Linked DNA regions of Callithrix jacchus. The protein of the gene in region 2 interacts with the protein of the main gene of each other region in a biochemical or structural test. Links are inferred from orthologs where the notes say so. Each region holds a gene or a part of one and is shown on either strand. Other genes may lie near its edges.

The links.
Region 1: the proteins of GAS6 (region 2) and AXL form a complex in vitro, tested with the Homo sapiens proteins (2 studies listed by BioGRID and IntAct, with this or other methods). The link is inferred for Callithrix jacchus from reciprocal best matches to the Homo sapiens genes GAS6 and AXL.
Region 3: the proteins of GAS6 (region 2) and TYRO3 form a complex in vitro, tested with the Homo sapiens proteins (2 studies listed by BioGRID). The link is inferred for Callithrix jacchus from reciprocal best matches to the Homo sapiens genes GAS6 and TYRO3.

Annotation. Positions count from the first base shown.
Region 1 is NC_133523.1:36,534,528-36,538,169, reverse strand, and holds part of AXL (tyrosine-protein kinase receptor UFO), read right to left. Parts: intron 2,584-3,642; coding exon 2,488-2,583; intron 2,354-2,487; coding exon 2,276-2,353; intron 1,606-2,275; coding exon 1,513-1,605; intron 1,114-1,512; coding exon 992-1,113; intron 366-991; coding exon 256-365; intron 1-255. UniProt on the Homo sapiens protein: Receptor tyrosine kinase that transduces signals from the extracellular matrix into the cytoplasm by binding growth factor GAS6 and which is thus regulating many physiological processes including cell survival, cell proliferation, migration and differentiation.
Region 2 is NC_133502.1:29,244,262-29,247,903, reverse strand, and holds part of GAS6 (growth arrest-specific protein 6), read left to right. Parts: intron 1-163; coding exon 164-282; intron 283-429; coding exon 430-619; intron 620-2,831; coding exon 2,832-2,996; intron 2,997-3,642. UniProt on the Homo sapiens protein: Ligand for tyrosine-protein kinase receptors AXL, TYRO3 and MER whose signaling is implicated in cell growth and survival, cell adhesion and cell migration.
Region 3 is NC_133509.1:45,047,606-45,051,856, forward strand, and holds the start of TYRO3 (tyrosine-protein kinase receptor TYRO3), read right to left. Parts: upstream 2,930-4,251; 5' UTR 2,689-2,929; coding exon 2,565-2,688; intron 845-2,564; coding exon 661-844; intron 432-660; coding exon 331-431; intron 1-330. UniProt on the Homo sapiens protein: Receptor tyrosine kinase that transduces signals from the extracellular matrix into the cytoplasm by binding to several ligands including TULP1 or GAS6. Regulates many physiological processes including cell survival, migration and differentiation.

The DNA.
Region 1 (3,642 bases), on a different chromosome or scaffold from region 2:
CTTTGCTCACCTCATACTGTGCACTGAGCCCACCTTCTTGTCTCTTCTCTCTCTGCACCCGAATACTCCTCCCAGACCTCAGTTCAGGACCCACCTCCTCCAGGAAGCCTTCCCAGATCCCCTTACTGACTTTCCTGGTCCTAAGTTCTGGCCTGCCTTCAGCGGGTGTCTAGCCCCACTTCCATTCTAAGAATGAGGGAGGGAGCTCCCTCAGGGAGTGTGGGAGCATCGGGGGTGTCCCTGAAAGGCACTCACATGCAATTCCTGGCCGCCAGGTCCCGGTGTATGAATCTCTTGGTACTCAGATACTCCATGCCACTGGCGATGTCTGCCATGAACTTCACCAGCATCTGAGTGGGCAGGTACTGAGGGGGAAGGCAGGTGGGAGGAGGGTCAATAGAGGTCAGTAGGGTCCTTGACGCTGATCCCTCCCCCCTCTGTCCCTCTGGGCATGCCTATCTCTGCCTGCAGTGGTTTCCCGTGGCTCTGACAATTCCACCCAACCCCGTCCCATGGCCTGAAAGGTCCTATAAACTTGCTCCAGCCTTCCTGTTTGACTTGATCGCCTATATTCTTGCCCTTGACAGACGCTCCCACCAGACTCCCGTCTGGTCTTCAGATAAACCACCATTGTTCCCACCTCCGAGCCTTTGCCTATGTTGTGCATTTTATTGGGATTGCTTCCTGCCCAGATGGCCAGACATCTCCCCAGCCCCAAGTCCTTCAAGGTCACCTCCGCGGCAAGATCTTAGACATCCACCCAAACTGACTGCCTGGCCTCCTCATCCACCCTACTGTATTTCCTTCCTAGCATTTAAGTCATCTTGCTTAGGTATTTATTAGCTTGTTTGCTGTTCACCTGACCTGCTGGAAGACACGCTGCAGGAGAGCAGGCTCCTGGTCACCATGGTCTTCCCAGGGTCTGAGCAGCACTGGGTACCTGACTGATGCTCAGTTAATATTTATAGACTGGATATTAAATGCCCCTCACCACTGGCTGGTCCCCAAGCCGGGAATAGAGGAGGAAACTGTGTAGGTCTCCATGTTTCATGAAAGGTAAGATGACCACAGGTGCCGGAAAGCTCTCTCGTTCAGAACCCTGGAAACAGACGCCTGAGCCCCACCCCAGGCAGCCCTGTTACTCCTGCTGGGCAGAAGGTGAAGCCAAGCCCCCTCCCAGCCAGACTTCAGCCTCTCCTCACTCCCATCCAATCTGGCTGCCATATTGTTTAGAGAGTAATGGGGGCAGCAAGGACCGAGCTGCAGAGACGCCATTTCCAACAGAGTTCCCAGGGATGTTTCCAGAGCCCTCCTGGGGACCTCAGCTATTTCTGGGAATGGTCAGAGGTCACATTCCAAGCTGAGGGAAAGTAGGAGGGGCGAGTTTGCTGACCCTGAAGGCGCCGGGAGCAGGAAGCATGGAGTCTGATCTTCCCAGGGCCAGAGGAAGGAGTCTTCCCTCTGCTATGGCCCCCATGGGGCCTGTAGACCCTTGAATCTGCCCCCCCTCACCGATGAGCCTCATGACGTTGGGATGGTCGAATTCCTTCATACAGACGGCTTCACTCAGGAAATCCTCCAGCTCTGACCTCGTGCAGATAGCAACTAGAGGGAGAGAGAAAGGTGGTTGAGGAGGGGAGGAGTTCCTCCCTCCACCTCCTCTCCATCACCATCGTCATCACTCATCTTCATCAAACATGATTAGTAAGTACTAGGTGCCAAACTCAGTACTTTACGTATATTAACTCATTTAATCTTCTTAGGTGCTACTGTTACGGTTCCCATTTTATTTTATTGGTTGCTTTTTTTGAGACAGGGTCTTGCTCCATCACCCAGGCTGGATGCAATCAGAGCGATCACAGCTCACTGCAGGCTCAAACTCCTAGGCTTGGGTTCCTGAGTAGCTGGGACCACAGGCACACACCACCATCCATATCATTTTTTTTTTTTTTTTGAGATGGAGTTTTGCACTTGTCCTCCAGGCTGGAGTGCAATGGCACAATCTCAGCTCTCTGCAACCTCCGCCTCCCCGATTCAAGAGGTTCTCGTGCCTCAGTCTCCTGAGTGGCTGGGATTACAGGCATGCACCATCACGCCTGGCTAATATTTGTATTTTTAGTAGAGATGGGGTTTTACCATGTTGGCCAGGCTGGTCTTGAATTCCCCACTCAAAAATTCTAGGCAATGGCTAACTTGCTGTTACCTTTTCTGCTTTCTTCCTTCTCAGGGGCATAGGGAAGGGGCAGGGGGCCCCACACATGTGCACATGACTCACTCTTCATCGTCTTCACAGCCACCTTGAGGACGGAGTCGTCCTGGTTGAGCTGGCCTTCCATCACGGCTCCAAACTCTCCTGTGAAGGGCCAGAGAGAGACACTGACCTCAGAGGGCCTGGGGGGACTGTTTTTCCTAGAGTTGGGTGGGGGCGTGGAAGTGCAGGATCTCAGAAGTTCAGAAGGATGTGTTTATGCTGCTGGGGGGACTCACCTTCTCCCAGAGTCTTCCCCAGGGCCACCTTGTGCCGATCCACCATCACATCCCGCAGCTTCTCCTTCAGCTCTTCACTGATGCCCAGGCTGTTCACTGCATGCAAGTTTGGGGTGGACAAAGCCATGGGGCAGGGCTGACATTCAGGTGACATTCACCCACCAGTAGGGATAGACCCATTGTTGAAACACTGACATACTGCCGCATCGATTCAAAATTAGCTACTGCCCTGAGCACCCTGCCACTTCCACCCTAGCTCCTCCTCTGGACCCCCTGAGCCTTCCCTCAGAGGGAACTAAAGGGTTAAAGCCTGGTCACACTCTTGCTCCAGTGGGCTCCCTGATGGGTCAGAGCCCTGCTTGTACCAGTTGTTAAAAATGTTTCTTTTGCCAGGCACAGTGGCTCACACCTGTAATCCCAGCACTTTGGGAGGCCGAGGCAGGTGGATCATGAACTCAGAAGTTCAAGACCAGCCTGGCTAACATGGTGAAACTCCATCTCTACTAAAAATACAAAAATTAGCCAGGCGTGGTGGTGTACACCTGTACTCCCAGCTACTTGGGAGGCAGTGGCAGGAGAATCGCTTGAACCTAGGAGATGAAGTTTGCAGTGAGCCAAGATCATGCCACTGCAGTCTAGCCTGGGTGACAGAACAAGACTCTGAAAAAAATAAAAATTAAAATATTGTTTTGCCAGACACAGTGGCTTACACCTGTAATCCCAGCATTTTGGGAGGCTGAGGCCGGTGGACCACTGGAGTCCAGGAGTTCAAGACCAGCCTGGGCAATATGGCGAATCCCTGTCTCTACAAAAAATTACAAAAATTAACTGTGCGTGGTGGCATACACCTGTAGTCCCAGCTACTCAACAGGCTGAGATTGGAGGATCACTTGGGCCTGGAGGTGGAGGTTGCAGTGAGCTGAGCTCACACAACTACACCCCAGTCTGGGTGACTGAGCAAGACCCCACATCTCAAATAAAACACACACACAAAAAAATTTCTTTTTCTTTCTTTCTTTCTTTCATTCTTTCTTTTTTTTTTGAGACAGAGCCTTGCTCTGTAGCCCAGGCTGGAGTGTACTGGTATGATCTCAGCTTACTGCAACCTCCGCCTCCTGGGTTCAAGCAATTCTCCTGCCTCAGCCTCCTGAGTAG
Region 2 (3,642 bases):
CAGGGCCAGGGCCTGGGGCTCAGGGATGGAAGCAGAGGGTGCATCCCTGACACTCTGGGGTGTGGGAGGGACAGTGGACCTGCTGCAGGGCCAGGACCTGGGGCTCAGGGAGCAGAGCAGAGGGCACATCCCCAACCCTCACGGCCCCTCCCACCCATGGCAGGACATCTTGCCGTGCGTGCCCTTCAGCATGGCCAAGAGTGTGAAGTCTTTGTACCTGGGCCGCATGTTCAGCGGGACCCCCGTGATCCGACTGCGCTACAGGAGGCTGCAGCCCACCAGGTGAGGAGCGTCCACAGAAGGCAGCGCAGCTGAGACATAACGGCCGGGATGCCAGCTTCATAGGGCCTAGGCAGGAGCTAGGTCAGCAGGGAGGGGCCAGCGTCTGCCCGCGCCCAGCGCTGACCTGTTTCTTCCATGGGCGCCCAGGCTCGTAGCTGAGTTTGACTTCCGGACCTTTGACCCCGAGGGCGTTCTCCTCTTTGCCGGTGGCCACCAGGATGGCACCTGGATCATGCTGGCCCTCCGAGCTGGCCGGCTGGAGCTGCAGCTGCGTTACAATGGTGTGGGCCGAATCACCAGCAGCGGCCCGGTCATCAACCATGGCACGTGGCAGACGGTGAGTGTGAGGCAGCCGCCCTTCCCGACCCCTGGGGCCCCTGGCACGCACTCACTTGTGCACCCATTACAAGATGGGCTCTGGGGCCTGACCGGCTGCATGCGGCAGGACAGGGACCCCTGCCCCGTTTAGCTCATGCTTGGGGGGCTCTGCTATTTCACCCCTGCCCCGTTTAGTTCACACCCGAGGGCTCACTGTGGAGCTCGGGGTCTCTGCTGTTTCACCCCCATCCTGTTTAGTTCATGCTCTGGGGCTCACTGGAACTTGGGGCCCTCTCTGCTATTTCATCACATATCTGAGCCTGGCTCCCTCAGAAATGGACCTTAAGTGCAACCTGTGAGTTTGGTCTCCCTGAGTTCAGGTCACTCTTGGCTCAGGTGAAGAACCTGTGGTTCTCAGCCCTGGGGGCCCCTGGGCTGTGTCTGGAGGCCATGCTGTTTATCCTGAGTTGGGGTGGGGAACAGGCCAGGGCTGCTGATACTACATTCAGGGGCCTCGCCAGGGAGGAAGCCGCCCAGAACCTGCACCCCAGGCCCGGGCTCCTGCTGCATGCGGCCCCCTGGCCGTGGCCACCTCTCCATGTAGGGCCACGTGGACGCCACTGCCTCTGAGCTCTGGCTCCCGGGGCCTGCCGGTCTGTGCGGCCATTCCCATCAGGGGTCCAGGCAACCTCATGGGGGCTGCCCCTTGCCAGAGACGTCATGACCACCTGGACCCCAGACCCATGGGCAACTGAGGGGTCCCCATCAGACCTGTCCTTGGGCAGCTGTGGGCAGCAGACAACATGCCTGCACCACAGCCCCCTCCGTGGAGTGAGAGGGTCTGTAGCCAGCTCCTGGCTGGGCCCCTCACCACACTGGGCTTTCAGAAAGGTGGAAAAGCAGGCTGTGTCCTTCAGAATGAAGACGAAGTGGAAAACTTCACCCTGGCCCTTGCAGATGAAAACTGTAGACTTTTGCCCATGTTTCCATTCTGCAAAGTAAATGCCTACTCCATTTCACCTCTTTTTTTTTTTTTTTTTTGAGACCGAGTTTCGCTTTTGTTACCCAGGCTGGAGTGCAATGGCGCAGTCTCGGCTCACCGCAACCTCCGCCTCCTGGGTTCAGGCAATTCTCCTGCCTCAGCCTCCTGAGTAGCTGGGATTACAGGCACGCGCCACCGTGCCCAGCTAATTTTTTGTAATTTTTAGTAGAGACGGGGTTTCACCATGTTGATCAGGATGGTCTCGATCTGTTGACCTCGTGATCCACCCGCCTCGGCCTCCCAAAGTGCTGGGATTACAGGCTTGAGCCACCGCGCCCGGCCCATTTCACCTCTTAAAGGAGCAGCGTCTCCAAGAGCAGGAGGTTGTTCTTAGCAAAGCTATAGAAAGCAAACTAAGGGGAAGCAGTTTCAGGGATGGAGCTGTGGGGATGAGGGTCCAGGGCAGGTGGCCCGAGGCAAGGTCGCTGGGGGACTGTAGTGCGACCCAGTCCTGCCCCGTGACTCACAGCGGCCGCTGCATCGCACCGAAACAGGCCCTTCCTAGCAGGGGCACCTGGTGAGGACCCCTCCCCAATTCCACCCTCTGGCTGGTCCCCAAAGGCAGCTGACTCAAACTTCTACCATGTTTTTGTGACTCAGTTGAAACCCAAATACCTGAAAGGTGTTTTCACACAGGAAGAAGGATGTTCTTCTGAAGCTTGGGAATAGGGTGTATCTAGTGTTCGACGCTACAGGCTTTCTATGAGGAATCAATTTGGTGCATTGAGAAACCTCCTGGCCCAGGCAGTGATGAACAGGGACTCCCTTGATGTTGAGTGGCTCTTGGCTCAGGTGGGGATGAGTGTGGTCTCCCTGAGGTCAGGACCCTCTTAGCTCAGGTGAGGATGAGCGTGGTCTCCCTGAGATCGGGACCCTCTTGACTCAGGTGAGGATGAGCATGATCTCCCTTAGGTTGTGTCCTTGGTCTCAGGTGTTCCAGCAGAGGTCGGGTCCCTCTTGACCTCCGATATGATGAGCCTGGTCTCCTTGAGGTCTGTCCTTGTTGGCTCAGGTGAGAATCAGGTGGTCTCCCTGAGGTCGGGACCCTCCTGGCTCAGGTGAGGATCAGGTGGTCTCCCTGAGGTTGGGACCCTCTTGGCTCAGGGGAAGATAAGTATGGTTTTTCTGCAGTTGGGGCCCCCTCAGAACATGCACTCCCACCTTCTCTCACGGCGCTGCCTCTCTTCAGATCTCTGTTGAGGAGCTGGCTCGGAGTCTGGTCATCAAGGTCAACAGGGATGCTGTCATGAAAATCGCGGTGGCCGGGGACCTGTTCCAGCCGGAGCGAGGAATGTTCCATCTGAACCTCACCGTGGGGGGGATCCCCTTCCATGAGGAGGACCTGGTGCAGCCTGTGAGTGCAGTCCTGTCCCTGGGTAGGGGCACCCTGTGCTGGGAGCCGGGTGGCTGTCAGGAAGGCTGGGTCAGCTCAGCCCTGCCCTGTGTTTACCACTGGCCAGGTGTGGGGAGGACCTAGAAGAAGGAAAGGTTTTGAGAGTTTGACCAAGTCAAGGTATGGCCATGTGGTTAATTTTACCATCTTTTTATGAGGCCTGACTAAGTTTCCATCTGACTTGATAATAAAGTTGTCTATTTTTCAGTGGAGACAAGACACAAAGAAATTATTCTTTAACAGAACAATAAACTTTTTTGGATGATTTCCAAGGACATTTTGGGTTTTGTAACCCTGATGTGAGTCTCACAGGGGAAAAGTAGCCGTGGTGGGGCGGGCAGTGAGGGCCATCTCTCCAGGCCCCGCCTTCCCTCCCCCAGCACAGCACATGCCGGGCCCCGATCTGCATCTCCAGCCCCCGTGCGCTGACGTCTAGGCCAGTATCCTGGGTATTTTCACTCCCACACCAGATAGGAGAAAGGCTCGCACATCTTTGCGTCTGTGGGTGCTGCATGTCCGAAGTGCCTGTGCTGAGACCCACCGCTTCGGTGGTGTGAGGGGCACCCTGCTTTCCAGACCCATGGTGCTCTCGTTTCACAGATAAAGG
Region 3 (4,251 bases), on a different chromosome or scaffold from region 2:
GCAGAGCCTTCCTCCCCTCCCCCAGCTGGCCAGGCCACTTGGCAGAACAGGGTCCAGTCCCAGATGGGTACTTGAAGCTTGTTGCTCAAGCAACGGAAACAGACTGCACCCCACAAGTTGTGGATCCCAGTTGCCCCCTTGGTTCTCAAATACCCAACTCCAATTGGTAGGGTCTTCTGATGTCTGGAGTGGGCCTAGAGCCTGGACAATCAGGCCCCACAGAGCGGTGGGGGAACCCAGCTTCCACAGAGTTCTCTGCTGCAGAGGTATGGTCACCAGCAGACAGCACGTGCTCCAGGCCAACGTGCCCAGATGGTTCTGCCTCCTCACCTTCTACTGTGAGCCACACTGGCTGGGAGATCTCGGTTTCGCCCCCATCCTCCACCTGGCACCAGTAACGGCCAGCATCAGAGCGCTCCACTGACTTCAGGCTGTGGAAACAGGATACCAGGCTTGCTTCTCAGGGTCAAGGGGGCAGCTCTGCCAGGCAAACTTGATGGGTTCAGCCTGCCCCCACTTCTGGAAAGTCCCACAGGTAGCCACATAAAAAAAACCACAAACCTCTAAGCGTCAAGTGAGGTCCCCAGCTCCCAATCCCCAAGGAAAGAGCACAGCCTGCCCCCTGGCTGGCAGCCCACACCTTCCCCCACAGGCCTGCACCTGAGGAAGCCGATCCAGTGCTGCTCACTGACGGGGATGTACAACTGGTCCAAGTGCTGGACCACAGCCCCATCCTTCACCCACTGGATATCAGGCTCCTCCATCCCCTCCACGCTGCAGTTGAGCTTCACCGGCTGCCCCTGAGACACTGTCAGCTTCACTGGGGCTCCCATGAGCTTCAGACCTGAGGAGTGGAAGGAACATGTGTCACCTTGAGAGGAACTCTGTCTCTGTAAACAGTTCCCATTCTCTTCCAGAACATAGCTTCTGTGTCAGGCAGAGGGCTCTTTCTTAGCCAAAGTCAAGGAAGCAGAGGTAGGGCAGTGTGGGAGGGAAGGTGGCTGGACCTGGACTAGGGGAAGGGGCATGACAAGCTCTCCAAGTTCCCTCCAGTTCTAAGGACCTCTTCCCCATATCCTCCTGCTGAGATCAGACAGCAAAAGGAAGGCAGGCTGGGCTGAAATGGCGGGGAGTTACCCTACTGGGGCAGGTATCACCCTAAGAATGGTTGCTGTACCCAACTAGTGCAACAGGCTGCCAGCTCTCCACCCAAGGTGTCAGCCCAGACCCTGTATTGCTGCCAGCACCCTCTGCACCCAACCTTACCAAATGGAGCAGGGCTGACGAAGGGAAGGAGGGGGTGCTCCCCTGAAGTGGAGAACATATGGCTGCAAAACCACGTCAGATCAAACACATGGCAGCCTTCCTGGCAGCCATCCGCTCTATTAATACCTGAATGTGGGCAGGGGCGGGTGCTAGGAAGGTAGGAGGAAGAAGGGAGGGCTGGGGCTATGAGCAGGGAGCCTAAGACCCCTGAGCCACTGCCACACCAACAGGGGCCACTCTTTGGAACGTGCGCGCGCATGCCCGCGCGGGCACACACACACACACACACACACACACTGGCACCTCTCTTGGCTTCCTGGCGTGTTTTTAAGCAGAGAGAGGGGCAGGTCAAATATCTGCATAACTAAAATCCAGCCCTGCTTCTTCCTGTCCTTTGCTGTGCGACTCTAGGCAAAGTCGTGGGCTCCCTGAGCATCAGGTCCACACCTTTCTGCTTGTAAATACTCGTCACCCGTTTCCCTTCCCTTCCCTGAGAGGCTGATATGGCAGGGAACGCTGTCTCAAGAGAAGATGCCAGCCGGGTGGCTGCTGTCCGGGCCTGTGGCTTTTCCCTGCTCCCTTCACCCTCTCAGGACCAGTCACAGGACAGGAGGTCCGGCCTCCCGCTCTCTATAAGCCCAGCAGTCACCGAGGTGCGGGGTGGGAACTTGGAGAGCACCGTGCTGCATGGAACGCCCTTGTCACCAGCAAATGCCTCAGTGGGAACACAAGGCTAACCCCTCCCAAAGACCAGCAACCTGGCCCCAGCCCATCCTCTCCAAGGTTCTGCTTTCAGGAAGCTCAGAAGGCACAGGAACTCGAGTGTGCCCATTTGCTTTTTGTGACTGGGCACTCTCACAGCCCCTGTTCCTAAATGTTACCAGGGTGGCCTTTGGGTGCTCAGCCCCGGCCCATGTGGTTTCAGAGCCGGACCTTCGCGTGCAGGGCAGGCAGAATGGGGTCCCCAGAACTGGGAAGGAGGGATCTAACAGCTGGGAACATCCAGGCGGGAAAATGCAGTCCCAAACACTCCCGGCTGACCACACAGCCCACACCCCGCTCCCTTCCCTTCCACCCCGTCGCGAGAGCCCAGAGTGCCAGAAAGTTGGGGGTGGGGGGCCCGCAGGGAGATCCGGCGGCGAGCACTCCGCAGCGTGCCCTGACCCGGCCCCGAGCCTTGGCCTTCGGCTCCGGACCCCCACCCCGACTCCCGCCCGCCAGGCCCACCCCAAGCTTCGATCCCCGACCGCGCCCCTCCGCAGCCCCCCGCTTCCCCCGCCTCTCGGGCCAGCCCCTACCTGCGGCTGCGGACTCCGGGAGCAGCAGAGAAGCCAGAGCCGTCAGCAGCAGCCCCAGCCGCGGTGGCGGCGGCGGCGGCAGCAGAGGGAGCCCCGGCCGCCCCATGCTCCGCCTCAGCGCCATCGGCGACGACGCCGCACCATGCCGGGCCGGGTCCGCGAGCGAGGAGGAGGAGGACGGAGAGGAGGAGGAGGAGGTGGGAAGGGAGCAGGAGAGAGGAGGGCTGCGGGAGGGGCTGGGGCCGCCCGTGGGGCGGCGCTGGGGAGAGCGCCTCCGAGACTCGCGTCCGCCCCCCGCCGCGATCGCCGCCGTCAGCAGCGCTGGGTCCCCGGGGCCGCTCCCGGGCCACCGCGATCCTTCCACTGCCGTCGCCGCCGTCGCCGCCGCTGATTCATGTTCTTCTCGGAGCCGCCGCCTCCTCCCAGCCCGCCCGCAGCCCGAGCTCGCACCGCCCCCCCGCGGAGCCCCGGAGGCTCGCTCCGAGCCCGGACCCCGGCCAGCGCCGCGGACCCCCGCAGCCCCGCCGACACCCCGGCCCCGGCAGCCCCCAGGCCGAACCCGAGGATCCGGCTCGGCCCCCAGGATGGGGCTCCCCGGCCACGCCCCTCCTTTCCCTAAAAGCGCTCCAGCATCTTTTCCATCCTAGCGCTCCCGAGCCTTCCCTCAAAACCCCGATGGTAGCCCCCACCACACCCCAACTTTTGTTCGGACTGTGATCCCAGAATCCAGCACCCCCTAGACTCCCATCTATCAGGCCCCCTGAAACTGCCGTGACCCAGGGCTCCTCCAACAGAATCTGCTAGCATCCCTTCGTCCCTCACTTTCATTGAGCCGTTCACCCAAAATTCCCATATTCATGTTCTATTGCCCTGCCTTTATCTCCAAGTCCCTCCTACCTGAAAATGCCCATTTTCTCCAGCCCCACTTGCCGTATGTTTTCCAACTTGGATCTTGAGTTTCCCAAGATCTTGGTAATCCCCAGGTTTTACCTAATACATATCTCCACCGCTACACTGCACAGGCCAAAGCCCAATTGCCCTTATCTTTTTGGGCTGTCATTTTTCCTAGTTGCTTCCCTTGCTTCTACCCCTTTTCCCAGGACCTGCTGTGAAAGTTGGCTGTGTCGTCACATTGTTCAATTAAACATTAGCTATTATGAGTAGACCACCTTGCGCATCGTAGGCACTCCATAAATAAATAGGCAGATGCCTGTTAAATGAATGAATAATTGCCTCAGAGCCTGCCCCACAACCAGTAATCATGGGGGTGGCCTTGCCCACAGACATCCTGTTGGGCACCTGCAAATCCGGTTCCAAACCAAGCCTACCAAGTGTGCTCCTCCCCTTGCCCTTCCCTCTCTGCCTGCCCCCTAGAACCCACTCCACACCCCCTCCAGATGTCCTGGGTGGAGAGGAGGGACCAGCCACTTAGTCCCGGTTGCCGCAGGCTCACTGGATCTTTTCAGGGATTCTCCTGAGCAGCAGGGGCCTGCCTCTTCTTCCACTTGGCCCCAGCAGTGCTTGTTTGTTAATTACGCTAATGATAACAACCGCAAGGCTGGCAGCAGCCTGAGACCCAGCTGGGGGCGCCCCCAAGCGGCAGCAAGAGGAGAGACTCAGGAGGCACTATCAAGACATGGATGGCAGGGGCCAGATGTCTCTGTCTTTTCTTTTCCTTTTTTTTTTC